Linked DNA regions of Macaca fascicularis. The protein of the gene in region 4 binds, or shares a complex with, the protein of the main gene of each other region. Links are inferred from orthologs where the notes say so. Each region holds a gene or a part of one and is shown on either strand. Other genes may lie near its edges.

Evidence for each region.
Region 1: the proteins of TLE6 (region 4) and OOEP are in contact, whole or in part, in a cryo-EM structure (PDB 8H94), measured with the Mus musculus proteins. The link is inferred for Macaca fascicularis from reciprocal best matches to the Homo sapiens genes TLE6 and OOEP. Residues at the interface, in NP_444484.1 of Mus musculus: Trp256, Ser258, Phe304, Thr305, Arg306, His307, Val318, Asn320, Val322, Asn323, Glu332, Ser333, Asn354, Ser355, Arg356, Leu373, Ala374, Ala375, Pro376, Ser377, Leu378; in NP_080756.1 of Mus musculus: Arg32, Pro33, Trp34, Trp35, Pro37, Gln39, Glu40, Glu67, Trp70, Met71, Gln73, Gln94, Pro95.
Region 2: TLE6 (region 4) and KHDC3L share a complex: the UniProt entries of both Homo sapiens proteins name them as parts of the subcortical maternal complex. The link is inferred for Macaca fascicularis from reciprocal best matches to the Homo sapiens genes TLE6 and KHDC3L.
Region 3: the proteins of TLE6 (region 4) and YWHAG are in contact, whole or in part, in a cryo-EM structure (PDB 8XI3), measured with the Mus musculus proteins. The link is inferred for Macaca fascicularis from reciprocal best matches to the Homo sapiens genes TLE6 and YWHAG. Residues at the interface, in NP_444484.1 of Mus musculus: Phe137, Leu138, Ser139, Glu140, Ser141, Asp142, Leu144, Gln145, Leu295, Arg347, Asn430, Leu447, Gln470, Met472, Asn489, Asp510, Asn511, Thr512, Met530, Pro553, Arg555; in NP_061359.2 of Mus musculus: Lys50, Arg57, Arg61, Lys125, Asp129, Arg132, Tyr133, Gly174, Leu177, Asn178, Val181, Glu185, Phe201, Asp202, Ile205, Ala206, Leu208, Asp209, Glu213, Tyr216, Lys217, Thr220, Leu221, Ile222, Met223, Gln224, Leu225, Arg227, Asp228, Asn229.
Region 5: the proteins of TLE6 (region 4) and NLRP5 are in contact, whole or in part, in a cryo-EM structure (PDB 8H94), measured with the Mus musculus proteins. The link is inferred for Macaca fascicularis from reciprocal best matches to the Homo sapiens genes TLE6 and NLRP5. Residues at the interface, in NP_444484.1 of Mus musculus: Pro147, Gln148, Pro149, Val150, Cys158, Gln159, Phe161, Leu162, Ile163, Gly165, Leu166, Trp167, Leu169, Phe170, Ser173, Arg174, Gln175, Lys176, Asn177, Ala247, Asp248, Lys249, Phe250, Lys252, Pro253, Ser255, Trp256, Leu261, Glu262, Cys265; in NP_035990.1 of Mus musculus: Gln185, Phe188, His283, Arg307, Glu326, Lys327, Lys329, Ser330, Ser334, Pro335, Leu336, Met444, Ala447, Glu448, Trp451, Tyr465, Tyr507, Tyr508, Glu511, Glu515, Asn517, Phe520, Phe522, Leu540, Met543, Lys544, Leu547, Val571, Lys574, Leu575.

Annotation. Positions count from the first base shown.
Region 1 is NC_088378.1:101,679,684-101,684,681, reverse strand, and holds OOEP (oocyte-expressed protein homolog), read right to left. Parts: upstream 2,588-4,998; 5' UTR 2,528-2,587; coding exon 2,338-2,527; exon of another isoform or gene 2,324-2,337; intron 2,120-2,323; coding exon 1,940-2,119; intron 1,576-1,939; coding exon 1,496-1,575; 3' UTR 1,262-1,495; downstream 1-1,261. UniProt on the Homo sapiens protein: Component of the subcortical maternal complex (SCMC), a multiprotein complex that plays a key role in early embryonic development.
Region 2 is NC_088378.1:101,685,970-101,691,088, forward strand, and holds KHDC3L (KH domain-containing protein 3), read right to left. Parts: upstream 3,018-5,119; 5' UTR 2,946-3,017; coding exon 2,777-2,945; intron 2,591-2,776; coding exon 2,411-2,590; intron 2,136-2,410; coding exon 1,864-2,135; 3' UTR 1,698-1,863; downstream 1-1,697. UniProt on the Homo sapiens protein: Component of the subcortical maternal complex (SCMC), a multiprotein complex that plays a key role in early embryonic development.
Region 3 is NC_088377.1:51,375,566-51,381,723, forward strand, and holds the start of YWHAG (14-3-3 protein gamma), read left to right. Parts: upstream 1-2,008; 5' UTR 2,009-2,191; coding exon 2,192-2,278; intron 2,279-2,518; exon of another isoform or gene 2,519-4,097; intron 4,098-6,158. UniProt on the Homo sapiens protein: Adapter protein implicated in the regulation of a large spectrum of both general and specialized signaling pathways. Binds to a large number of partners, usually by recognition of a phosphoserine or phosphothreonine motif.
Region 4 is NC_088393.1:3,674,125-3,680,254, reverse strand, and holds the start of TLE6 (transducin-like enhancer protein 6), read right to left. Parts: upstream 3,372-6,130; 5' UTR 3,317-3,371; intron 2,780-3,316; 5' UTR 2,723-2,779; coding exon 2,672-2,722; intron 555-2,671; coding exon 472-554; intron 1-471. UniProt on the Homo sapiens protein: Component of the subcortical maternal complex (SCMC), a multiprotein complex that plays a key role in early embryonic development.
Region 5 is NC_088393.1:63,996,386-64,001,810, reverse strand, and holds part of NLRP5 (NACHT, LRR and PYD domains-containing protein 5), read right to left. Parts: intron 5,421-5,425; coding exon 5,250-5,420; intron 4,498-5,249; coding exon 4,330-4,497; intron 1,374-4,329; coding exon 1,203-1,373; intron 1-1,202. UniProt on the Homo sapiens protein: Component of the subcortical maternal complex (SCMC), a multiprotein complex that plays a key role in early embryonic development.

The DNA.
Region 1 (4,998 bases), on a different chromosome or scaffold from region 4:
AGACTCCATCTCTAAATAAATAAATAAATAAACAAACATACATTAAAAATCACACCAGGAAAAACTTGAAAGAATCAAATTTCTATGGGAGAAAATTAGGAGCTCTTAAACTTAAGAGGGTGGGGATATGGGAGAACACACAGGAAACAGTAATTGATTTAACTACATAAAATAAAAATCTTTCACATGCAAAAAAAAAATGTAAGAGGGTGGAAAATGCTGGTAATAACAGACCATTGTTACAAAAGCTTATAGAGATAAATAAAAATCCTTATCTTCACCAGTTGAAAGAAGTCAAGAAAGGAATTAATACAGAAAAATGTAAAACTGAAACAAAGAAAACATTCAACATCACCTCTAATCAAAAATGTACAATTAAAGAGACTTGAGTTTAAAACGCTTGCAAAAGGCTAGAACACTTTATTGCCAAGGAATGCATAAATTCCATGAGTCTCAAACCAATCCTAATTGCGCTTGAAGCCACAGGGCTTTTGACACCTTTCACCCCAAAAATTCTACTTCCAGAAAGTGGGGCAGCAAGGATAGGAGCTGTTTTGCAGAGATTGGTAATCTCAGTACAACACGTAATGGAAAAACAATCTTGCCCATGCTGGACACCTGTGCAGCCTCGCCTTGCAGAAAAAGGGAGACAGCCGGCTCCAAGGCAGGGCGCCATCCACAAGCCAAGGTGCCAGGGATCCCTTTTCTTCCGTGGTGAATCACAAAGCTACCATTAATGAATGCTGACCGCCCAGGCCTGCTTGTTGGAATGTCATCCTGTGCCAGACGGACAGCCCACTCCAGGAAAACGCACAGCTGGTGCTCTTTGGAGGGTCAATTACCAGCTGCAAAGTGAGAGCCTCAGATAAGCTGCTTTGGTAGTACCTGTGAGCTCATCAGAAATGCAAATTACAAGCCCCACCCCAACAGTACTGAATCAGAATTCTCTGGAGAATGAGCCTAGGAAATTGTGTTTTAACAAGCTCCCAAGGTGATTTTTTACAAGCTTTAAAGTTTGAGAGCCAATTATGTAAAAACAAAACAGATCACCATTTGGGAGGTTATCTGCCCCTGCATATCTGCCCCCTGTGGGTGAGGGCCTCATTCTGACCATAAAATCATAGAAGGATTAGGAGTTTCAAAATGATGGGAATTCAGGAAGAAAAAAACAAAACAAAAACAAAAAAACAAAAACAAAAACCTACAAAACTACAACCTGCCAGCCTTCTGCCCACCCTTCATATCAAAACATAAGAGTCAATCTTTTATAAATTTGCTTTATTATAAGTGTGTGAAGATCTTAATGCCATTGGCAAAATAGCCATTTCTTTATTAGAATAGTTCAAGCTCACTCTTGCAACAAAATAAACCACATTCCATCAAGACACAGGAAAAAGGAATGCAGGGATTTAGGAATGCTATACTTGCTTCTCTTCAACTTTAGCAGAAAAAGTTGGAAAGTTCTTAAGATGTTCCCGACAGTAACTATGTTGTCTTAAGCAACAGGATCCTGGGGAGAGTGGGGGTCTGATGCATGGGCCTTCAAGTTCTTCTCAAGGTGTTTCATCTTCTCAGCTGGAAGAGAAGCAGTTGATGCTAACCATGGACAGGGAAAACGGTTCGCTGTTTCGAACTACTCAGTGATTGGGAGTTGGGGAGGAGAGAAAGACCTGCGGTGGAGGCTCCGAACCTGGGATCTGCGATAGCGTCGTAACCCAGCTGAGGCTGACTTGGGCAGTGATGGGCCTGAATGTATCAGATCTCCGCTGACTTTCCCAAGGTCCTACCCCGGGATCCCCTCCCAACAAACTTCGTGCAGCCCCTGGGGTCTGGAAACCAAGAAATTCTGAGAAGGTTAAGGGAGGATGGAAGGAAACCGAGCAAGGCCAGTACAGTCACTCGTGGCTTCCTCCACATGCAGGTTCTCAAAGACCCTCACCTCGGGCACGATGTTCTCGGTGAAACGATGCCAGGCACAGGAGCATGCTCTTCACCCGATTCTGTACACTGGGCCGTCCAAAAACGGTGATTTCGACTAGGTTCCCAGAGTCCACTATGTCCACTGTCATCAGGGCCTGGCTCGTCCATTCCATTTCTGGAATCATGGCTCGGTCCGGGCCTAAACAAGTAAGGAAAGACTCTGAGGGGCCGCACGGTGGCAAGTTACAAGCTGAATTTTAAGGGAACGTTGGCCAGGGAAGGGAAGAGCTGGAAGGTGGGCAATCACTGCAACACTTTTGGCTTGCGAATCTGGGAAAGAAGCTGTAGAGAGCTGCTCTGCCGAGTTTCTCTCAGACTGGAGGTGGACAGCCCACTAGCACACCTGGGGTCGCTCACCAAAGAGCTCGTCTGCCAGCCATGCCTCCAGGTAGAACACCAAAGGGTCTCCCAGTTCCTGCACCGGAAACCACCAAGGCCGGATGCGAATCTGCGGCGGCGGAAGTGGTAACATACGCAGCTGCTCCAGGGAGTCGGCCGGGGTCTGTTTGCCCCGCTGGGACTCAGCAGCACCAGCGTCATCGACCATACTGGGACCAGCAGCCGCGGAGCGCGCTCGAGGTGGCTTTCGCGGGACCTCCTCCAGACCCAGGCGCGAAGCTCGGACTCTCTTTTACCATATTCCACCCGCTCCGCCCCTTCCGGCGGCGCCTAGCACCGCGTCGGGGTGAGCTGGTGCAATCGACGCCCTGGCCTAGCGGCACATCGGGCACTTCCTGTGCTGCCTCAGTCGCCGGGATTGCCTCTTTGACTTTGAACTAGTATGCATCTGGCCTCCTGTTGGGTCTCCAACGCTCTCCTTCGTCATCTTTGCCTCGTAAGATATACTTAGCCTGAAAGACTTCTGCCCACCTTATAGCTGATTAACACTGTGAGTTTGAATTGACGACTCTGCTGACTGGGAATCGCCTTTGCTGGATAGGTTAAGGTTTCATCGTTACCTCCCAGAGATAGGTAGATTGGACCCAGGGCAGGCTTGTTGAATGTGTCGGTTTTCTCTCTTCTGCCCCATGCTGTTATCTTCTGACTCTCCGGATGGTTACCATTTTTAAATCATTCAAGCAAGTGTATCATGTTTTAAACAAAACGTCGGAGGTGGTCTTATAGAACATGTAGCAAGTTAGACAATTTTCCTTTATTTCCAGTATCCTAAGACAACCAGTATCAATGAATTTTTTCCCAGTGTTCGTAATTTTAATTAAAAATTTTTTTTAATTAAAAAAAAAAAGAAAGGTTTCACACATCCAAAAAAGTAATATAGCACAGCCCTGTACCCTCCCCCAGTTTAACAGATATTGACATTTCCCCACATTTGCCTCACTTCTCTGTTTTTAAAATAGATATTACTCAAGCATCTTTCCTTTTCCTCTCCAGAGGAAATTATCTTGAAGCTAGTGTGTATATATCATCCCCATGCATGTCTTTACACATTTTCTACTATATTTCTAGAAATATTGTTTTGTAGTTGTTTCAGAATAGATAGTATCTGCTGAAAATACTATTTTGTTCTTACGATTAACTATGTGTTTGTTTTAAAACTATTTTCTATTTTTCTGAGATAGGTCTCAGTCTGTTGCCTGGGCTGGAATGCAGTGGCATGATCTCGGTTCACTGAAGCCTCGACCTCCCAGGCCTAAGTGACCCTCCTGTCTCAGCCTCCTGAGTAGCTGAGACCACAGGTGCCTGCCACCACACCCAGCTATTTTCCAGCTCTTCTGTTGTTGTTGTCTGTCTGTTTGTAGAGACAGGGTCCCACTATGTTGCCAGGCTGGTTTTGAACTCCTAGGCTCAAGCAGTCCTCTCTCACTTTGGCCTCCCAAAGTGCTGGGATTACAGGTGTGAGCCACCACAGCCAGCCTAGAGGAAAAAACTCAAAATAGTGGAAAGCATGTTCCAGATTCCACATGATCATCTAGGACTGTGTGGAGGCTCCAGTTTTCTGCCCCTGAGCCCACCCCCTCTCACCCTCAATGGTTGCTGAGAAAACCTTACTATCAGATGTGTAGGGCATACTTACAGGAAAACTAGATTTAGCTATGGCTGTGATGCAATGAACATTTAAAACCTTAACCTGGCCAGGCAAGGTGACTCACGCCTATAATCCCAGCACTTTGGGAGGCCAAGGCAGGAGGATCACTTGAGGTCAGGAGTTTGAGACCAGCCTGACCAACATGGAGAAAACCCATCTCTACTAAAAATACAAAAATTAGATGGGTGTGGGCCAGACACAGTGGCTCACGCCTGTAATCCCAGCACTTTGGGAGACTGAGGCGGGTGGATCACCTGAGGTCAGGAGTTCGAGACCAGCCTGACCAACATGGAGAAACCTAGTCTCTACTAAAAATACAAAAAATTAACCGGGCATAGTGGCGCATGCCTATAATCCTAGCTACTCGGGAGGCTGGGGCAGGAGAATCGCTTGAACCCAGGAGGCGGAGGTTGCGGTGAGCCGAGATCACACCATTGCACTCCAGCCTGGGCAACAACAGCAAAACTCCATCTCAGAAAAAAAAGAAAAAGCCGGGTGTGTGGTGGTTACCTGCAATCCCAGCTACACGAGAGGCTGAGGCAGGAGAATTGCTTGAACCCCAGAGGCAGAGGTTGCAGTGAGCCAAGATGGCACCACTACACTCCAGCCTGGACGACAGAGTGAGAGTCCATCTCAAAAAAAACACAAAAAACAAAAACAGAAAAACACCTTAACCTAATCAAGGTCAGATATTGTGGCTCACGCCTGTAATCCCAGCACTTTATGAGGCAGAGGCCAGCAGATCGCTTGAGCCAAGGGGTTTGAGGATGCAGTGAGCCATGATCACACCACTGTACTCCTGCTTGGGTGACAGAGCGAGACTCCAAAAATAAATCTAAAAAAATTTAAAACCTCAATCTAATCATGAGATGCACTTACACTGCTGTAGATAAAGAATATTTTACCCAGCATGTATAGAATTTTAACGGCTTCTTCAGGGGGACTGTGGTGATCTGAGCCACACAATAAGT
Region 2 (5,119 bases), on a different chromosome or scaffold from region 4:
GATCCGGCCACTGCACTCCAGCCTGGGTGGCAGAGCGAGACTCCGTCTTAAAAAAAAAAAAAAAAAAGAAAACAGCTTGTAAAGAAGAGAATCCAACATTCTGGTAAAGTGGGTATTACACAGAGAAAAACAACATACACATTGAGTTTTAGTTCTGTGATGTATCCTCATCTGAAACTGATTTTGTGTTGATTTTGAATTTAAAATGTTCTAAAGTTCTTCTAAAATTAGTCAACTATTTTAATAAAATGATTACCGGTTAAAAGTTGCTAATAAGTTTTTGTAAATTCAGCTTTATGTCGTAATTCCCTTATTGTAAGGTACATGATTATTTTAAACTCGAGTGATAATTAGTGGTGACAAAAAGTTTGTGATAGATATTCCCCTGATATTTAAAGTTAGCTTTGAACTTTTAAAAATTACTAGTGATTGGCGGGGCGTGGTGGCTCACACCTGTAATCCCAGCACTTTGGGAGGCCCAGGCGGCGGGCGGATAACCTGAGGTCAGACCAGTCTGGCCAACATGGTGAAGCCCCTTCTGTACCCAAAACGCAAAAATTAGCTGGGCGTGGTGGCGCGGGCCTGTAGTCCCAGCAACTGGGGAGGCTGAGGCAGGAGAATTGTTTGAAACCGGGAGGCAGAGGTTGTGTTGAGGTGAGATGGGGCCACTGCACTCCAGCCTGGGGGACAGAGCGAGACTCCATCTCCAAAATAAAATGAAAATTATCAGTGATTCTTGGTTAAAAAAAAAAAATCCTAATTAAATCCTAATTACAGAATTACTGCATGCTATTGTTTAATCCTAGCACCCAGCTGTTGGCTTGCATTCTTCTAGATTAATTCGCAGGCTCAGGGACCTGCATCCCAGTGCCCTGACCAGAGCTGTGACCCGGGAAGCCAAAGTGTTCTCTGCTCAGGCTCCTCGCTGCCGTAGTAACTGAGGAAAGAGTAGCCGGTGCCTGTATCTTGCTGGTGTCCAAGACCTTCCTGGAAGGTGGGTGACCCAAGCAAGACCTGAAGACGGCAACAGTGCAGCCGGAGAGTGCAGCTCGGCTCTCTTCGTTTCCCCCTTCCCCGAGGTAATTTTCCCCAGCGGGGAAAGTGTTCTGTGGCAGCGTCGCCATACACGCAGGGCCTTCCAAATCCAGCTGGCCCCCAAGCGACCCGGTTTTCTCATCCCAAGTCACCTTGAGTAGAACCACAGCGGGCTTGGAGAGGTTTCCTAGTGGGCCAGAGAAGCTTCTCACCTGTTAAAGCCAGATGCGCGCGGTTAAGGAGTACAAGTGGCACAGCGGACCACAGCCAGGGAAGATTGCGACCCCGGGCGGCTGGGAGCCAGAAGCCCCACCTGTCTCGAGGTAAAGAGCGGCGCAGGGCAGAACTGGGCTGTTGGAGGAATACGCCTTTCCCTCCCCTCTACCTTCCAAAATACAGACGTCAGGGAAATGCAATTGTTTATCAGAACTCAAGTTTGTGTTGACAACCACTCAACAGAAGGTGTAAAACAAAAACAATCCACGTCAACCTCCCCCGCCACCCCGGCTTCCTGGTCTAAAGTAGCGGGGGGCTTCCACTTTGCAATTATTTATTAGAACTCAGGTTTGTGTTTGCAGCCATTCAACAGAAGGGGTAAAAAAAACCAATCCACATCATCCACCCTTACCCCGGCTTCAGGGGCTGAAGTAGGGGGCGGCTTCTAGTTTGCAATTTTTTATTAGAACTCAAGTTTGTGTTTGCAACCATTCAACAGAAGGGGTAAAACAAAAAATCCACATCATCCTCCTCCCAACCGCAGCTTCTGGGCGAAGTACGGGCTTTCACTTTAACCCCTGACTGGCTCTGGCTCCAGGGCCCGAGATGCCTTCATAATCTGGTAACTGGGGCCCGGGTATCCTCGCGAAACCGCTGGGTCACTGCCTTGCTGGCAGCTTCGGGGGATCGCTGGGTCCCGGACTGGTTGGCAGCCTCGAGAGACTGCTGGGTCCCGGTCTCCCGCACCTCCACCGGAGAACCCTGTGTCCCGACCTCCCGGACCTCCACCGAACGCTGGGTCCCGGCCTCCCGGACTTCTGCTGAAGACAGCTGGATCTCGGCCTTCTTAGTGGCGACATCCTGGGCGAGGGCCTTTCCTGAGCCTGAAAGAAGAGCAGTGTGCGGAGGCCACAGCTGTGTCCCTATATCCTCTCCAAAAAAGGACAGTCACCCAAGCGGCCTGCGGGAGTAGGAACCAGGAATCCCAGAACGCGGGTTCACTTTGGCCTTCTGGATCCATGGCAACCGCCCCGTCTCCCACCCACTAACCGGGGGCAGACTGGGAGGGCGAGACTGCAGCCCCAGCAGCCAGGAAACCCCAGGATCACTCCTACGGAGCCAGGGTTTGCTCCAGGTAGCCCCATTCCCAGCCCCGTACCTTTCGCCTGGAGCTGTCGGTGATAGTCAGCCAAGTTCATGATCATCTTGATTGTGTCCTCCTGGTAAGAAGGCCTCCCAAATACCAAGATCTCAGCCTCGCCGTTAGGGTCCAACCGATTCACATGAATCAAGATTTGGGACATACCCTGGACGTGCGGGATGCGTTCTCGGTCCCTGCCTGCGCGGGTAGTAGAGAGGCTGTGAGGGTTGGGTGGCTCCCGGGGGTCTTGGGAGGGGAAAGTGGAAGGAGGAGACAGCCAGAGGGCATTGGCTACTGGGGAGGCTTGCCCTGGAACGCAGTGGGATGTGGGTGTGGGCGGCAGAAAGAAGCCGCATAGGGGCTGCCCCTCCTTGCTCCACTCACCGAAGATCTTTTCCACCAGCCAAACCTCCAGGCGAACTACCTTCGGATTCTTCAGGAACTCAGAGTGGAACCAGGAGAACCGCTTAGGAAGGTGACCAAGCACCTCGACTGGCATTGCTTTTGGCTGCATCAGTTGCACGAGCGTCGGAAACCGCCTGGGAGTGTCCATGCTGCGCCCGGTCCTGCAGGAGACAAGACCACCACAGCAAACCCAAAGGCCAAGCTGGAGCTAGGCGACTAGAACTGCGGTTTCGCCTGGGCCTTATTTAAAGTGCTTTTGGCCAGCCCCTCCTCTCCAACCGCGCCCTTCTCATTGGGTCCCAGGCCTCGCCTCCGCCTCCAGGAGCCCCGGCTTTTTCCGAGGCAGCGCAAGTGCACCGGTTCCTGCGTTGCTCTCAGTGTCTCTTCTGTCAGGAGCAGCCCTTTCCCCAGCGCACCCGGTAGGAGGAACCGGGCTCTGGGCACCAGGAATCCGCTGGTGCCCAGCGGGAGTCTTAACCATGGACTCAGGAAGGCGTGGACAAGCCCAGTATCTCTCCCAGAGGAAGGAACTGATACTTGCAGAATGAATACTTCATACGTCCCTCACTCGCTTCTGATCCCTGGCCACTACGTTTTCTCCCTCTGGCACCAGGTTTTCAGATTATTCTGTCACTTGCCTGAGACAGCTGAGTACAGAGCAGAATAAGCGCCCGCCTTTTTGTTTTGTTTTGTTTTGCTATAGGGTCTGTGTAGTGAGATTTGCATAGTAAAAAAAAGGGGGGGATAGAAAAAAAGTTATGGGGTCTGGCTATGTTGCCCAGGTTGGCTTTGAACTCCAGGGCTGAAAAAAATCCTCCCTCTTTAGCCTCCCCAGTGGTGGGACTATAAAGCGCTTTTAATTAATGCAGCAATGAACACACCTAACCACAGATGGTTCTCGTGGTTTGGACACCAGAGGAGATTCCTTGAAAATTTTTGACATCTCTGTTCTTTTTTATTTTTAATTTTTTAAATTGGAGACAGGATCTCTGTCACCCAGGCTAGAGGGCAGTGGTGTGATTATAGCTCACTGCAGCCTCCAACTCCTGGGCTCAAGAGATCCTCCCTCTTCAGCTGCCCCAGTAGCAGGGACTACAAGCCTCTGACACCATGCCCAGTGATGCCTCTGTTCTCTAAATAACACAATTATATTTGTCTCATCCTTCCTTTCCTTTCTCCTTTCCCTTTTCCTTTCCTTTCTTTTCCCCTTCTCTTTCTGACAAGGGTTCATTATGTTGCCCAAGCTGGTCTCAAGCAATCCTTCTGGCCTGGGCAAAATGATAAAACCCTATCGCTACAAAAAAAATACAAAAATTAGCTGGGCGAAGTTGCACACCCCTGTAGTCCCAGCTACTGGGAAGGCTGAGGTGGGACAATCACCTGATCCCAGAGAGGCTGAGGCTACAGTAAGCAGTGATGGTGCCTCTGCACTCCCCGCGGGGTGACAGAGTAAGACCCTGTCTCAAAAAATAATAATAACTGAGCCAGGTGCGGCGGCTCACGCCTGTAATCCTAGCACCTTGGGAGGCTGAGGCGGGTGGATCATGAGGTCAGGAGATCGAGACCATCCTGGCTAACACGGTGAAACTCCACCTCTACTAAAACAAAACAAAAAAAAAAAGTGTGAAAATAATAACTTTTAACTGTGTTGCTATAAGATAAATAATAATTTATAATTTATTTTTATTCAGTATTGAAACACTAAAGAGAACTTCAGGTTTGCCACATTAATAGACCAAATGTATATATTCAGGCCGCGCCCAGCCGGCCGAATATATTTAATATATAGGAATGATTTAGTAGTTGGGAAATTCTTACTTGCTAATTGAGACAATTAAAGTACTTTGCAAAACAACAAGAAAAAACAACCCCATTAAAAACTGGGCAAAGCCGGATGCGGTGGCTCACGCCAGCAGTTCTAGAGCAGCCTGGCCAACATGGCGAAATCCTTTCTCTACTAAAAATACAAAAATTAGCCAGGCGTGCTGACTGGCGCCTGTAATCCCAGCTACTCCGAAAGCTGAGGCATGAGAATCGCTTGAACGTGGGAGGCAGAGGTTGCAATGAGCCTGTATTCCAGTCTGCGGGATAGAGTGAGACTCTGTCTCCACAAAACAAAGAAACAAACAAACAAAACTGGACAAGGAACATGAAGAAATGTTTCTCCAAAGAAGAAATACAGGCAGCCAACAAACACATGAAAAATGCTCAGTATCACTAATCAGAAGAGGAATGCAAATTAAAATCACACCGATATACCATCATACACCAGTCACAATGGCTTTTATTAAAAAGTCAAAAAACAAGCCGGGGCCGGGCGCG
Region 3 (6,158 bases), on a different chromosome or scaffold from region 4:
CTTTCTCTCCAGTGCTCAGAAAATGAAAGTTTTCTGCTGTCTTTAGAACCTTGTCTGCTAACAGCTCTGATATGTTAACATGGCTTTATGGTTTACAGAGGTCACTTCTTGGCTTCTTGGTTTCCAGGCCCCTAACCTTGAAGGAGACGCAGCCCGAGGGCTTGACCATAATGTCAAAGAACACGATGAGATTGACCATGGCCAGCAGTAGAGTACTCCTGGCGGCAGCAGCGTCTGCAAAGCTCACTTTTTTTTTTTTTTAATATGGATTTTCGCTGTTGTTGCCCAGGCTGGAGTGCAATGGCACCATCTCAGCTCACTGCAACCCCCGTCTCCCAGGTTCAAGCGATTCTCCTGCCTCAGCCTCCCCAGTAGCTGGGATTACAGGCGCTCAGCTAATTTTTGTATTTTTAGTAGAGATGGGGTTTCGCCACATTAGCCAGGCTGGTCTTGAACTCCCGACCTCAGATGATCCACCCGCTTCGGCCTCCCAAAGTGTTGGGATTACAGGTGTGAGTCACCAAGACCAGCCAAAGCTCATTTCCTTTTTTTTTTTTTTTTTTTTGAGATGGAGTCTCGCTCTGTCACCCATGCTGGAGTGCAGTGGCACGATCTCAGCTCACTGCAACCTCAAAGCTCACGTCTTATTGACTTCTAGCATACTGTACATATCTTGCCTATTTTCTTGGGAAGGGATTTTTTTCTGTTTTGTTCACTACTGTACCTTGTGGCTTAGAATAGGGCTTGGAACACAGTAGCTTCTCACAGATAATTGTTGAATACATAAAGTAAATAAAATGTGTAGTCAAAACTATGGGGCCTGCAGGCATGGTGGCTCACATCTGTAATCCCAGCACTTTGGGAGGCCGAGGCGTGAGGATCGCTCGAGCCCAGGAGTTCGAGACTAGCATGGGCAACAAAGCTAGACCCTCGTCTCTACAAAAAACAAAACAAAGCAAAAAAACCTAGTCTATCTTTAAGCTACGTGGAATAATATGAACGAGAATATATCAGCGTGACCTCAGTAGGTACGTATGCCTAGGAGGGGAGAGAAGGGCTGGACAACTAAGCCCCAGACACAGCCCGTTAAGGCGTGGAGTAGGCTCCTGGTAGCTGAACTGAATCTTTAGCACTCCACTCTGGAGAGGAAGAAGGGGTTCTCCAGGGTCAGCCAGCAGGCAGCTGCATCCTTTCTGGAAACCAACCAGTGTGGCCAGCCGGTATTTGTCGTTCGTCCTTGTTTTCACCTAGTCAGGCCCAAGAGCCTCAAGGTGGGGTGGGGGGTTAGTGGAAGCTCGTAGGGGGAGGAGGTGACAGTCCCCCGAGTCTGGCCCCTTAATTCAGCCATCCCGCGGGCAGGCACCACACTGAGAGTCTGGATCTACAAAGGACGCGCCTCCTATCCTTCCCCCACCACGACCTGCTACGTGATCTCGGAAACAGGGTCTAGGACTGAGGCCCCTGCCCCCTCCTCTCGTAATTTCCCGGAGAATATGGGGCGGGGCGGTGAATCAGCACTCGCAGGGACTGATGCAGCCCTGATCCCCGCCAGGGGTCCCCAGCGGCCTCGGGATTCGAACCACCCCCCAGTCCTCCTGCGCCTGCGCGCTACCTCCGCTGGGAGTTGTAGTCTTGACCGCCCCTTTGTCCTCGGTCTTCTCAACGCCTCAGCCCACGGCAGGTTACACTACAACTCCCAAGGGCCCATGCGTCGGAGGCCTGGCGGGGCGGGGGGCTGAAGGGAGAGGGATAAGGGGGCGTCTGGAGAAGCTGGGGTGAGGGAACTGAGGAGTGAAGTGAATAAAGAGGAGAGTGGGGGCGCAGTGGGAAAGGACGTGGTGCCCGGAAGACGCGCAGTGAGCCGAGTTGGGGAGCGGGGAGCTCTAGCCGCGGCCGGGCCCGGGCGGGGCCTGGGCGGGGCTTGCGGACGAGCGGGCGGGGCCTGCCTGCGTCATGCGGCGTGGGCGGGGCCGCAGGGGGTTGTCCGTCCGTGGCACGCACAGCAGCCGCAGCCGCCTCGCTCCCGGTCCCGCGGTCGCAGCTCCAGCCGCCTCCTCCGCGCAGCCGCCGCCTCAGCCGCTCGCTCCGTGGGTCGGTCCTCTCCGGCACTTGGGCTCCAATCGCGCCCTCCAAGCCCTTCACGCCACCCCAGTGTCCTCCTCCTTCTCCGGCCAGACCCAGCTCCGCGAAGATGGTGGACCGCGAGCAACTGGTGCAGAAAGCCCGGCTGGCCGAGCAGGCGGAGCGCTACGACGACATGGCCGCGGCCATGAAGAACGTGAGTGTCTCCTCCCCTCCCCCGCCGCTCCCTGCCCCTCCGAAGACGCGGTCCTTGGCGTGGAAGGCCCGGGGCTTCGTCGCCCTGTCGCGATGGTGGGGTGACCGCCCCGTCTCGCTCACTGAGGGGGGCCGGGGAGGGTCCCCAGAGCCGACGGGAACACGGGCTGTGACGCGGCCTCTCCTCGGCGTCCCCGGGGCCCCGCGGCGCGGCCTCTCTGGCCCGGCGCGGGCGCGGGGCGGGGCGGGGTCCCGCGGGGCTGGACTTGGGAGCGGGGTCTCCGGTCCCAGCGGCTCTAGGGGTACAGGGGATCCGAGCGGGGAGGCGTGCGCATCCTTTGTGCCCCACTTCCCCCCTCCTCCCAGCCCGGGCGTGGGGGCGGGGGACCGCATGGATGCGGTTCCTCTTTCTCTCCCTGGTGTCTGGGCGGCGCCTTTCCCATTCACTCAGCAGGTCTCCCGGTTTTCCACCTCCCCAGCCCCCCCAAAATCTTCCCCACTGTCTGTCCCGACAGATCCCTGTGAATCTTCCCAGAAACATTGTATAGGGTCTCTTGAAAACCTGAGCTCCGTGGCGCAAAATCGAAACCACCTTGCTCACGTTTTTCTTAACAAAAGGCTCTTCTTTCTCCATTCCCCCAAAGCAAGTCCTCCGGCTTTTAGGAAGGGGGAACGTTTGTCTCGCTAGCGTTTTCGTTGATCGTTTTCAACATGTCATCTCCATTTTATTCCCTAATGTTTTTGTATTGAAAAGGGTAGGTATTGCCTGTAAAATAAAAGGTGGTGAATGTAGCTGACTGGTTCGATCCGTGTGACATATGCCGTTTCTTTTTTGAATACAGGCACGCGTCTGTGAAATTCCTATAAGTTGGGGGAAAAAATATTCTGTCTGATCTGATAGTGCAAACAAAGCGGTGGTGAGAGGCAGTATCAAGTCATTCCAGAAGATTCTGCATTTGTCATATTGCAGAGAGCCTAGACTGGGTGGAGGCTGGGAGGAGTTATTTTAAAGGGGAAAAAGTCTTTTTAAAAATTTTTGGTCGTTAGATGCATCTGAGGCTTTTTTTTTTTTTTTTTTTTTTTTAAAGCGAGTACGTCTTCATGCTGATGAAAAGAGAATACTGATCTCCAGTTGTCGCATTTTGTCTGGGTTGCAGATTCCTCCCTGTATTGCACCATTTTGTCAGTAACACTACATTTATCTAATGGGCTGTCAACCAGTTTGATATTAGAGGAGGGGGAAGTATTGAACATTATGAAATGAAAGGTAGAAAATTAATGATTTCGGGCCCCCACTATCTTAATATTTAATTTCCTGCCTTATGTAACAAAGGTTTTTCAAATGCATCTCCATTGTGAAGTGGATGCTGGAGTGTACCTTGCATGTTACATCTTTTAAATGAAGCATTATTGATATTACAGATCAATTCTTGAATAACTTTACTGGTTCTCAAAAGAGGACAATGCTGATACCTTTACATTTAAACCAGGTATTTTAACAAAGAAATGTTTTTGTCTTATTAAAGAAGAGAACCGGTTCTGAAATTCGGAATACTGCTATGGCCACAGCTGCTGTCTTACAAGGTTTTAATGCTCAAATGATGTAAGTTGCACTTCTAATGGGTATCAGTATTGGAAATATCTTCAGTTCGTGTTATTTAATTTAGACTCTTCTAATTTTTCCGTATTTCTAGTTCCACAGGAAAGCGAGTGACCTCGCACCTATATCTATAGCAACCAAGTGATGTCACACACAATGACACAGAGGCTGCAATGCACCTAAGGGCTGGTAGGGAGTGTGCAAATGGCATTTATCCAAGGTAATGCAGAAATTAGCCGATAAGCCAGGTGGAATCGAGCACTTCATATTCCACCAGATAAGAATTAGTCCAAAAAATAAGGATTTCATTTACCCTTAAACATGCAGATCCCTGACCTCTAGCTAGGCCTTGTTCACCCTATTGCTAGCTTTCTCACAAAAGTTTATAAGATGCTTTTTTTATATTTTTAAACATTCATCTCACTTATTTAAAATACTGGGCAATAATGGAATAAAAGTAGAAATTTTAAACGATAATATATTTTATGGAATGAAAGTAGAAATTTTAAACAAGAATATAGTTTACGATAATAGTGCAGAGATGAGATGTGTACTTGTGTTTATTTCAGATAATGAATTTGGCAGGTTTTAATAAAAACCTTAAAAAAATGATGACTTTCTACTGAGTCATTTTCAGTTACTGTTAGGGAATGAGAACCAGTTCCAAAACCTTTTAAATCGAGGTTTGGGAAGTTTGTTTTTTACTAGATTTGTGCTTCTGCTCCTTCACAGTATAGAGGAAAGAACAGTTTGTAAAATAAAAACCTTTTTTCAACTCTGTTTCCTGTGACTTTAAGGAAATAGGCTCTGTCCCTCATTTTCCTCATCTATAAAATGGGACAGTACTTGAAAAAGTTGTGCGGATTCAATAAGAAATGTAGTAGGTGTTCCCAAATGGCAACTACCTAAGAAATTGTCTTCCTGTTTATAAAAGTCATCATGGAGAATTTGGAAACTGCAGAGAAAGAACCCAGTCTTACCACTCAAGTGAGCTCTCTTTTAAGGCCGAAATCATCCTGTTGATGGATTAAAATTTATTTGAGTTTAATGAAATTATCCTAGTGCTAACACTATTGGAATCTGTGCAGAATGATAGTTCTGTGTGGGCAACCAGGACAGAAATACTGTATTATCCAGTATTTTGAAAAGAAGGAAAGAGGAATGTTAGGTCTTTTAAGACACTTGTTTAGTCTTGTATTGAAGGAGATTGAATACCTAGATGTATCCTACGTATTAGACAATACTGTCTTGTCCTTTGACTTTTAATAGTCTCTTGAGAAGTTAATATTTTAAGTAGGCTACTGGTACTTGCCTCGGGGGGAGAAAAGGTTCAGGGCTACTAATTTTGTTGAAGTTACTGGGTTAAGCAGTTTAATTCAGTGAGGGGTGGTGGGGGCAAAGGTGGCAAAAGGCTATCGTAATTTTTCTAAATCTTCCTAGTGGGATCAGTAGACTTTCAAATTCTTACTATCTTAAATATTCCATTCCCTAGCCACCCCCCCGCCCAGCTTTTCCAGGAGATCAATAGCCATTATCACTAATGGAGTAATGGTACCTCTGTAGACTCTTCAGAGGTGGAGTTCTGCCAACCATTATTCTGAGTCATGTGGCTTGAATTGTTCTCTTCTTGAGGGAAAGAATACAGATCATACAGCTTGCTATTCATGTGTTAGCCTTCACAGTAACTGAAGCAGATATTACGTATTTTTCCGATTATTTTGGAAATCTCCTATGTGTCTTTTGAATTCTACTGAGATTCAACATGGTGCTAAATGTTCATCCTCATTGCAGTCCTGGATTAACTGCAGACCTTGGGTAGGAGTTCATCTCTTATATTCAGGGAAGCCTTATTTATTAAGCCACTCTCTGAATTATTGAAAAGAGTGAAGAAAACGTTGTGTTTTTATTGAGGTAGAAGTTGCATAACATAACTTTAACATAGTCACATCACATTTCAAATGTGCCGTTGAGTGGCATTGGGTACATTCAGTGTTTTGCAGCCATCACCTATGTTCAAGAAAGGAGAAAGTGGTTACTTTTAAAAAGTGATGCCGCTCTGGCCTACAGCTGGCTGGAATTCAGCACGCCATTACCGATTCAGGAATGTGTCGATAATGGAGTGCCCACAACAGCTCACAGCCAGCGATAATTGTCTATCCCTTTGTCTTCGTTTACAAGCCTCTGAACTGAAAAAAGGGAATTAGCTTTAGTTAAGTTTTGTACCGTATTCCCACTTAAAAAGTTATGGAACTTGAACACCGTATAATGTTCACCCAAATAA
Region 4 (6,130 bases):
CACGGCTCACTGCAATCCTCCGCCTCCTGGGTTCAAGAGATTCTCCTGCCTCAGCTGGGATTACAGGCACCCGCCACCACGCCTGGCTAATTTTTGTATTTTTTGTAGAGACAGGCTTTTACCATGTTGGCCAGGTTGATCTCGAGCTCCTGACCTCAAGGGATCCGCCCGCCTCTGCCTCCCAAAGTACTGGGATTGCAGGTGCGAGCCACCACACCCAGCCATTGCAGTATTTTTCAACAATAAAATTGAATGCCAACAAATCCATGTTGCACAGGAAAATCAACATATGAAACGAAAGCTGGGATGGATATTGCTGGGTTCTCCACGCTGGGTATCCGCATGGCTTCCTGTTCCTGAGCCTGTCTCTTGGGCCAGCAGTTTCTAGACCACTCACTAGGACCCCAAGGAGAGAGGCCAGGTGGGACCCCTTCCCAGCGTGGGACCGCCAGCCCCTGGAATTGCTCTCACCTGGGGAATTGCTTGAGCCGATTTAGAATGCCTTGATAATTCAGTGGTGGAGAGCTCTCAGAGTTCGAGATCCCAGGATGGGGCTGGAAAGGTCAAAGCAAGGTTACATAAAACTTACAATGCCCTGGCCGGGCGCGGGTGGCTCACGCCTGTAATCCCAGCACTTTGGGAGGCTGAGACGGGCGGATCACGAGGTCAGGAGATCGAGACCATCCTGGCTAACACGGTGAAACCCTGTCTCTACTTAAAAAAAAAAAAAATACAAAAAACTAGCCGGGCGCGGTGGCGGGCGCCTGTAGTCCCAGCTTCTCGGGAGGCTGAGGCAGGAGAATGGCGTGAAACCGGGAGGCGGAGCTTGCAGTGAGCCCAGATTGTGCCACTGCACTCCAGCCTGGGTGACAGAGCGAGACTATCTCAAAACAAAAAAACAAAAAAAAAAACTTACAATGCCCCAAACACTCAAGACCCCAGGTCTCCATCTCAACCAGAGTATAGGTATTAGGTTGATGCAAAAGTAATTGTGGTTTTTGTTTTTGTTTTTGAAACCAAGTCTTGCTGTCACCTAGGCTAGAGTGCAGGGGCACAATCTCAGCTCACTGCAACATCTGCCTCCCAGGTTCAAGTGATTCTCCTGCCTCAGCCTTCCTAGTAGCTGGGATTACAGACGCCTCCCACCATGCCTGGCTAATTTTTGTATTTTTAGTAGAGATGGGGTTTCACCATCTTGGCCAGGCTGATCTCAACCTCCTGACCTCGTGATCCACCCGCCTCGGCCTCCCAAAGTGCTAGAATTACAGGCATGAACCACTGCGCCCGTCCTCTTATTTCAGTACCTGAAAGAGCATCTTCCATTTTGCACTTTGGCCTAAAGTCTAAAATATTCACCACATTCTTGTGATGAAAATAGAAGCACAAAATATTTTTAAAAATAAAAGGCCAGGCAAGGTGGTTCACGCCTGTAATCCCAGCACTTTGGGAGGCCGAGGTGAGCAGATCACCTGAGGTCAGGAGTTTGAGACAAGTCGAGGCAACTCAGCAAAACCCTGTCTCTACTAAAAATACAAAAATTAGCCGGGCATGGTGGCACACACCTGTAATCCCAGCTACTGGGGAGGTTGAGGCAGGAGAATCATTTGAACCTGGGAGGTGGAGGTTGCAGTGAGCCAAGATCGTGCCACTGCACTCCAGCCTGGGCGACAAGAGCAAGACTCAATAAAATAAAGTCTCTTGGCCAGGTGCAGTGGCTCACGCCTGTAATCCCAGCACTTTGGGAGGCTGAGGTGGGCAGATCACGAGGTCAGGAGCTCAAGACCAGACTGGCCAACATGGCGAAACCCCATCTCTACTAAAAATACAAAAAAAAAACTGGTGGTCATGGTGGCAGGTGCCTGTAGTCCCAGCGACTCGGGAGGTGAGGCAGGAGAATCACTTGAACCCGGGAGGCGGAGGTTGCGGTGAGCCGAGATTGCGCCATTGCACTCCAGCCGAGGTGACAGTGTGAGACTCCGTCTCAAAAACAATAAAGTCATAAAGTCTCAAAACAAAATATTCCTCATCTGACCCCTTTACAAAAAAGAGAGTTTGCTCAGCCCTGAGAGCCTAAATTTACAAATGGTCATCTCTGGGACATAAAGTACAGGGAGCCCGGATTGCTTGTAAAATATTAACCAAATACGTGCTGTGTTCCTGTGTTTTTTATCACGTATGTGATTAGAAGCTACATTTTTTTTAAAGATGGGATCTCACTTTGTCACCAAGGCTGAAGTGCAATGCCTCAAACTCCTTGGGCTCAAGCGAAGCCTCTGCCTCAGCCTCCTGGGTAGCTACAACTACAGGCAGGCCCATGTCACTAGGCCCAGCTGATTCTTTTAATTGTTTTTGTAGAGACGGGGGTCTCATTACGTTGTCCAGGCTGGTCTCAAACTCCTGGGCTCAAATGATCCTCCTACCTCGGCCTCCCAAAATGTTGAGATCACAGTTGTGAGCCACTGTGTCCAGCCTACACTTAATTTTTTTAAAAAAAAAAAAGGCTCCTTGGCACCTGTCTTGAATGTAGCAGTGACCGGTATTGTCTTCAGCTGTGAGGCCTGGACGAGGCCAGCCCAGGTCACAGGTGGATACAGGATGAGAAAGGGGCAGAACCTCATTGGGCTGAGCTGGGTTTCCCTTGAGGGCTGATCCCACCCCATGCCCTCCTCACCGAAGTGCCTTTCGGGGGGCTTTTGGGGCTAGGCTGGTCCCTAGAGGTCATCTTCAGGCAGTAGCCTCCAGGACTTTAGCCAAAGTCTAAAACAAGGAGACAGCAGGTCTTGAAGGACAGAAAATAAGGCAGTGTCAGGGAGGGAGCCACCCCTTACCCCACCTGCACCTCCCGGTTTGGTAAGTCTCCAGGGCCCCAGTCCTGCGGTTCCCCCATGCGTTCCCTAGGTCCCGTCCTCACTTATCAATGCCTCCAGCTGCCCAGATTCGTGGGGCCGGGGACCCAGAAAGAACTGAACCCTGCCTCCCAGGCCTCACCCTAGGAGGTTGGGGTGGATGGTGCACATACACTCCCTGCTGGGGGAGCCCAGGGAAGGTCACCAAAGCTCAACCTTAGTTTTGAGACAATTTCCTAAAGTGCAGGGAGATCACTAGAAAGGGGTTTTGAAGGATGAATAGGAGTTAGCCAGGTGCATTAGGCGGAATTCATCGGACAGAAGAAACGACTTCCCTCCACCTGCATCCCAGCTGCAGCACCAAGCTCCTTCCTTGCCTCAGTCCTGCCCTTCCACACCCCTGCAGCCCCTTCCCCGGCCCGGGAATCTTGGAGTCCCCCCAACCCCCAGGAAAACGCCTGGCAACTCACGTCCCTCACAGGGCGGAAGCTGCCGAGGTCAGCCAAGTTCAGGCCAAGAGGAAACTCCTCCTTCCCCCACCGGGGGCCATTTGACCCATCGGGCCCCGCCTTGTCCCGCCCTGTCCCTGCCCCGTCCCGCCCAGGCCCCACCCAGCCGCCACCTGGACCGCGAAGCGGATCAATGAAGGCGCAGTAGCTGCACGTGGGTTCGGGCTCGGGGTGGGCAGGCATCTGGCGGCGCTGGCCAATCGTGAGGCCGTTTGCGCACGTGGGTCGCGTACGCCCTCCCTGATTGGCCGGCTCTCCCCGGCTGCCGGCCAAGCTGTCACTCAGCGAGCCGGGAGCCTCCGCTTAACCCTTTCGGTCCCGCTGCCGGGAAGGGCGGAATTGCAGAGCTCTAGGCAATTTGGGGTCCCAGCGGGGGCGGGGATATTTAGGAGGGCGTGGGGCTTGAGGCTCGGAGGGTGGAACTTGGGGAAGGATAGGTGGCGAGTAGTTGCATTGTTTTACTCATTTTTAGCCTTGTCCGGAAGTGGCTTACGGCTGGAAGTGAGGAGTGGGAGGTGGGTGGGGTCAATCTTTAGCGCTCTCACCCCAATGCTTAGATACGGGCTAATTATATTTTCCTCAATATTAAATAACGTGCAATGCAAACGAAGCTTCTAGTTCTCTTTCGGGAGCCAACTTACTGGGTTCCCTTGATGGTCTTAGCCCCGGGCTATGCATTTATCATATTGGAGCTCCCAGCCCAGTGACAAAGGCTCTGAGAGCAGAAAGCCGGACAGCAGAGGCCCTGAGGCTGGTACCGTATTGCCAGATCCAAGCCCGGGGTGGGAGAGAGTGGTGGGTATTCCAGATGGAGGGAATAGTGGAAGCTCTCAGGCAGAGCTGGGCTGGTTACAGGAGAAGACCGGGAGGCTAACGGGGCTGCGTGCACTCCGAACACGCCTGGGATGATTTCAGAGAGGTAAGTGGGTTGCTACAGAGCGAGAGAAACCTGCTATGTGGGGTGGTGGGGATAGGGGTAAGGGGATTCTGGAGTTCTGTTTCGGCCTATTCAAAATATGAAGGCAAAGCACCATGGCTCACACCTGTGATCCCAGCACTTTCGAAGGCTGAGGTGGGAGGATTGCTTGAGGCCAGGAGTTGGAGACCACTCTGGGCACTACAGTGACACCCCATCTCTACAAAAAAATTTTAAAATTAGCCAAGTGTGGTGGTCATGCACCTGTAGTCTCAGCTACTGCGGAGGCTGAGGCAGGAGGATTGCGTAAGCCCACACTCCAGTCTGAGCAACAGAGCAAGACCCCATCTCAAAAAAAAAACCCCAACATACATATTACATATACAATACATATATAAAGTATATATTATATATAAAGTATATGTTATACATATATAAAGTATATATAATATATAAATATATATGTTATACATATATAAAGCATATATAATATAAAGTATATATAATATATATAAAGTATATATATTATATATATAAAATATATATATGTAGTGAGAGCCCAAGATTCTTTCTGTTTGGCCCAGAACCTGGTACTGGCATTAGCGGTTCGCTCTGCCAGGGACAGTCTCCCTCAGACAGCCACTGGCTGGCTCCTTACTCCCTCAGATCCCTACTTAGAAATCACCACATTGGGCCGGGCGCAGTGGTGCATGCCTGTAATCCCATCACTTTGGGAGGCAGAGGTGGGTGGATCACCTGAGGTCCAGAGTTCGAGACCAGCTTGGCCAACATGGTGAAACCCTATATCTACTAAAATACAAAAATTAGCCGGGTATGGTGGTAGGCACCTGTAGTCCCAGCTACTCAGGAGGCTGAGGCAGAAGAATCACTTGAATCTGGGAGACAGAGGTTGCAGTGAGTTGAGATCGTGCCACTGCACTCCAGCCAGGGTGACAGAGCAAGAGTCTATCTCAGAAAAAAAAAAAAAAAAAAATCACATCAGGCCAGGCGTGGTGGCTCACGCCTGTAATCCCAGCACTTTTAGAGGCTGAGGCGGGAGGATCACTTGAGGTCAGGAGTCCCAGACCAGCCTGGCCAACATGCTGAAACCCTGTCTCTACTAAAAATACAAAAATGAGCTGGGCATGGTGACGCACACCTGTAATCCCAGCTACTTGAACCTGGGAGGCGAAGGTTGCAGTGAGCCGAGATGGCGCCATTGCACTCCAGCCTGGACGACACAGTACTCTGCCCCAAAAGAAAAAAAAGAGTTCGTGACCAACCTGGCCAACATGGCAAAACCCTGTCTCTATTAAAAATACAAAAATCAGCTGGGTGTGGTGGCAGACGCCTGTAATCCCAGCTACTTGGGATGCTGACGCAGGAGAATCGCTTGAACCGGGAGGTAGAGGTTACAGTGAGCCATTGCACTCCAGCCTGGGCCACAAGAGTGAAACTCTGTTTCAAAAAAAAGAAGGAAGGGAGGAAGGAAGGAAGGAATCATCTCATCGAAGAGACCACCCAACCCTCCCTTCCCTTTCCTATATCTCCCTTTCTTTCTTTTTTTTTTTAAATACAGGGCGAGGGGGAGGGGAGTCTCAGTAGGTTGCCCTGGCTGGTCTTGAACTCTTGACCCCAAGTGATTCTCCCACCTCCACCTCCCAAAGTACTAGGGATTATAGGCATGAGCCACTGTGCCGCCACCAGGCCTGTGTCTCCCTTTCTCATTTTATTTTTCTCCAAATGTGGTTTGGATTGCAGCTAATCTTGTAATCTCAGTGGCTCCTGTGGCGGGAGCCTCCCACGTTAGCTCTAAACCCTGGGTGTTCTAAATGCAGAGAATGCTGTCAGGATTCTCC
Region 5 (5,425 bases), about 60 Mb from region 4:
AAGATTAAAGGTCACCTAGAGCTGTGCTGTCCCGAATGGGAGCTGCTAGCCCCACATGGGTACTGAGTTCTTGACATGGGTCTAGTGTGATGAGGAAACTGACGTCCCCATTTAACTTAGATTTGGCTGGCCACATGTGGATACTGGCTGCCACACTGGGCGGCTCAGCTGAATCAGACCCACCCTTGACTCCCGGCATCACCATCCAAGCACCATCCAACTGTGGGACAAGTGACACAGCCTTTCCGAAGCTGTGTCATCTGTCAACTGGGTTATCAACAGCACCTGTTCCGTAGACCTGTTCTGAGAACTCAGCGAGGAAGGGTTGGAGGGATTTTAGCGCAGTGCTTGGCACAGCTCAGTGAGCACTGAATAGTGGGTGCTGTAACTCTGCTGCTGCTTCTCCTCCCCCTCCCTAGATCAGTTATCAGTAAGCAAGTCATGTCCTTTGGGCCAGGCACTACTCACACCTGTAGTCCTAGAACTTCGGGAGGACAAGGCAGGAGGATCGCTTGGGCCCAAGAGGTCGAGGCTGCAGTGAGCTAGGATCTTACCACTGCACTCAGCCTGGGCAACAGCAAAACTCTGACACGGAAAAGGAAAAAGGTGATATCCCTTTAGGCGTCAGGGTGCGGAACTGCCGCCCCTCGCATTTCCACTTGGAGGCATTTCTGCTAGAACACCACAGGCCTGGGCTCATCCCTGCTCTGGGCTCCCTTGTCTCCAGAGGAGGAGGTGGGATTGGGATTTTGGGACCCTCCTTTTTGAGCCTCTCTGTGCCCAGAAGCCCAGAATGCATGAGCTCTGGCCTGGACTTTACCAGGCAGAGGGGAGCCTGACCCCCACCCACGTTGAGTGACTGAGTGGGCGGGCATCTCTCTCCAGTCATGGGGACAAGCACTCACTAACCCACAGTGTAAGCTGCACACATAAGCCTCACGCCCAAGAGAGCTTTATCAGGAGGGAAGATCATTATTCAATTTCCATCTGACTGATTCCCGCTTCCACCTTGTATCTCCCCTTTAGAGTTTGGCGGCAAGAACAGATGTTTATCAGGTCACTCTTACGCCCTGACTCTGGGGGCAGTCTCGGGAGGTCCCAACTTCCTTCCTCACCCTGTTTGTGCATCTGCTCATTCCCCTCCCACCATGACTGGAGAATCGAAGTTACCATAATCCCGGTGGAAAGGAAGTGGCACTCACGTCAGCTTCTGCAGGGCGCACTGGGAGACCCTCAAGGCATCACTGAGAGGCGTCACTCCCTGGTCTGTCACCTCATTTCCTGCCAGGCTCAGAGACTTCAGGCTGGGAGAGGCCGTAAGGATTTGGGAGATCTTCAGGTAACAGGTGTGGGTCAATCCACAGCGATCCAGCCTGCAGAGACAGGCAGCATGAAGCAATCGCAGCTCTCGCCCAAAGCAGCCCATTTCCCCTCTACTCAGCACACGCCAGTGGCACTGGCCATTTTCCTGGTCCTCGGACTCTGTCTGCTCCTGCCTCTGGGCCTGAAAATTTGCTATTCCTTCCATTGCAACCTCCCCTCCTTCCCCCTCCCTCAGGTCTTCATGGGGCTCATGTTCTCGTTCATGTCTCTTGAAGGTCGCCTTTCGGGTAAGCCACACCTTAAACAGTGCCTGCCCCACCTCCCTCCCTTGTTTCAACATTCATAGCAACGCACCCCAGCCTTTTATTATTATTTTTTTTTGAGACAGGGTCTTGCTCTCGTCACCCAGGCTGGAGCGCAGTGGCTCAGTCTTGGCTCACTGTAACCTCCGCCTCCCGGGTTCAAGCAAGTCTCCTGCCTCAACCTCCCGAGTAGCTGGGATTACAGGTGTCCTCCACCACACCTGGCTAATTTTTGTATTTTTAGTAGAGACGGGGTTTCACCATGTTGGCAAGTCTGGTTTTGAACACCCGACCTCAGGTGATCCACCTGCCTCAGCCTCCCAAGGTGCTGGGATTACAGGCGTGAACCACTGTGCCTGGCCTGTGTTGAATTTTAGGCAGAACTTTTAGAGCTCTCCAAGCCTACACATGCTCCTGCCATGTGTGCACACATCATTCTTTCTGTCTTGTTTTGTTCTCCCTGTGCTGGCCTGTGAGCATCAGGAGAGCAGGAATCTCGTTTCATTCATCAGCACATCCCAGGAACTTGTCGTAGTACTACACACAGAATCAAGCATCTGTCATTATTGAATAAAGGAAAGTTCCAACTCCTCAACGTGACAGTGAATGGAAACCCTTCACAATGTGGCCCAATCCATCTTTCAATGTCAAAGTCTACCGTTTAGAGACTTAGCTCATCATCCCATCCCTCTGTACAATAAATACTTTGGGGAATACGGGCCAAGTGTTGGGAATAGAGCAGTTCTAGGTTCTGGGGCTACAGGAGTGAAGAGAATAGAACAATACCCCTGCCCCTGTGTGTTATGAGAAGGGAAATTCATTAGACTTCCAGGAAACTGGACCTAAGTGACTTCAATGCTTTTTCCTTTCTTGGCCCCAAATAGCCTAGATCCATCTTTTCTGACAACGTGTATATTTATTCTTTGAATCCAAGCTCCAGCTCTCTGCACTTGTGGTGCAGAGTGAGCAAAAGAGTGAGCATGTAGCTTCCTCCAATCTGTTCCCAGATAAACCCCACGTGAGGTCAGGCACAGCATTTCCGTCCTGAGACGATGTCTATGCTTTGGCCAATTTCCCTGGGTTACATCTTTTTAAAGTACAGTTCCTTGGCTACCAGGCAAACACACACGGTGCAAAGCAAATTCTTATTATTCTTTGATGTTAGTTGATGTGCCAACTAACAAAGCTCAAAGCAGGGCTTGTACTTGTCTGTCTCAGAATATTTGGGAGGGTGCAGCAGGTGGATCACTTCAGGTCAGAAGTTCGAGTCCAGCCTGGCCAACATGGTAAAACCCCCATCTCTACTAAAAATACAAAAATTAGCCAAGTGTGGTGGTGGCACGCCTGTAATCCCAGCTACTCGGGAGGCTGAGGCAGGAGAATCACTTGAACCCGGGAGGCAGAGGTTGCAGTGAGCTGAGATCACACCACTGCACACCAACCTGAGCAACTGAGCTAGATTCAGTCTCAAAAAAAAAAAAAAAAAAAAAGGAAAAGAAAAAAGGAAAAGAATACTACATAAACATTAAATAGTTGTATCTCTAGACCAAGCTAATCTAATGAACAAACCACCTTCCCAGGACTTGCAAACCACAGTGAGAGCCCCAAACCGGAACCAACCAACCAACCAACGTGTCCCTGGACAGGGGAATGGTTCAACTGCAGTACTTCATAGCATCGAATGGCTGTCGCCAAGAGAAAGGAAGAAAATGTCGAACACTTGACTGCTTGGGTGGATCTCAAGCACTGACGGAGCAAAGCCCGTCTCAGGCGACGACATACCACACTGATTTCACTGTAAGAGCATTGTCAAGGCCGGGCATGGTGGCTCACGCCTGTAATCCCAGCACCTTGGGAGGCTGAGGTGCACGGATCATGAGGTCAGGAGATCAAGACCATCCTGGCTAATATGGTGAAACCCTGTGTCTCTACTAAAAAAAAAAAAAAAAAGAAAAATACAAAAAATGAGCCGGTCGTGGTGGCGGGCACCTGTAGTCCCAGCTACTCGGGAGGCTCAGGCAGGAGAATGGCATGAACCGGGTAGGCAGAGCTTGCAGTGAGCCGAGATCGCACCACTGCACTCCAGCCTGGGCAACAGAGCGAGACTCCGTCTCAAAAACAAACAAACAAACAAACAAACAAAAAAACAGACCAGACTGGGCAACCGAACGAGACCTTGCCTCTGCATAATTTTTTTCTTTTTCTTTTTCTTTTGAGATGGAATCTCGCTCTGTCACCCAGGCTGGAGTGCAGTGGTGCCCTCTCGGCTCACTGCAAGCTCTGCTTCCTAGGTTCAGGCCATTCTCCTGCCTTAGCCTCCTGATTAGCTGGGACTACAGGCACCCGCCACCACGCCCGGCTAATTTTTTTTTTGTATTTTTAGTAGAGACGAGGTTTCACCGTGTTAGCCAGGATGATCTTGATCTCTTGACCTTGTGATCTGTCCCCGCCTCGGCCTCCCAAGCATAAAAATTTTTAAATGAAACTTTGAGGGTTTTTTTTATTGTGATAAAGTATTTATAACCGAAAATGGACTATTTTAATTATTTAGGTGTGCAATTCAGTGGCATTAAACTCCTGCAACCATCACCCCCATCCACCACCAAAACTTTTTCAGCTCTTTAATTTTTGCCTCTTTCTGTAATTATTTCCAACAAAAGCAAAAACGAAGAAACAAAAGGCAAAAGCCCTACCAGAGACGCACCTCAAAGACTCCAACAAACATTTTGGGTGTTTTAAGGCTTCACACGCCATCCTTACATCCTCTTCCTTCAGGTGGGTGCCTCCCAAATTGAGGGATCTTAGGTTACGGTTGGCAATGAGGGTTCTCCAGAGGTGCTGCAGACCAGAGGCAATCTGTGCGTTCCTAAACCTGCAGGAGACGGGAAACGGGAGATGCATGTGACACTGGTGACGTTTTGTTGTGACCTCACTTATCCTTCCCATCCTTCTCCCATTCTAACTTGCAAATTTCTAATTGTATTTCCTTGTAAAGCAACGAATACCTGAGTGCCTGTGATGGGCCAGCTACTGGGAATAGCGTATGAAGCAGTATTAACAATCCCTGCCTTGAAGAGCTTAATCCATCCAAACCCGTCCAAACCTGGTGTCAAGGAACCTGCTTCAGTAACACAAGGTTTTTGTTTGTTTTGTTTGAGATAGAGTCTTGCTCTGTTGCCCAGGCTGGAGCGCAGTGGCGCAATTTTGGCTCACTGTAACCTCCACCTCACTGGTTCAAGCAATTCCCTTGCCTCAGCCTCTCAAGTAGCTGGGATTACAGGCACGTACCACCATGCCCTACTAATTTTTTTTTTTATTTTTAGTAGAGCTGGGGTTTCACCATGTTGGCCGGGCTGGTCTCGAACTCCTAACCTTGTGATCCTCCCGCCTCAGCCTCCCAAAATGCTGGGATTACAGGCGTGAGCCACTGCGCCCGGCCGATCACAAGGTCTTTAGCAACTCCCCACTCTGTGCTTTTGGGAACTTGGTTCCTACACCTTGGGTGGCACTGATGCCCTCAGGCTGAGCTTGAGGGGTTTCAGATGGGTCTCCTCTCAGGAGGTAGGGGAGAGCTGGGACAGAGTCATGGGAAGGGATTCTCTCACAGGGGGTGGGCAGCCTTACCTCAGGGTCTGTATCTTGCAGGTGGGATGCCTCAGCTTGGCACAAAGGGTCTTCATGGCCCGCTCTGTCAGGATGCTGCTGCCCAGGTCCAGCTGCCGCAGGTTGGGGTGGGTGCTGAGCACAGAGCAGAAATCTTCCCACTGATCCTCCATGAGGGTCTTACCCCGCATCCTACA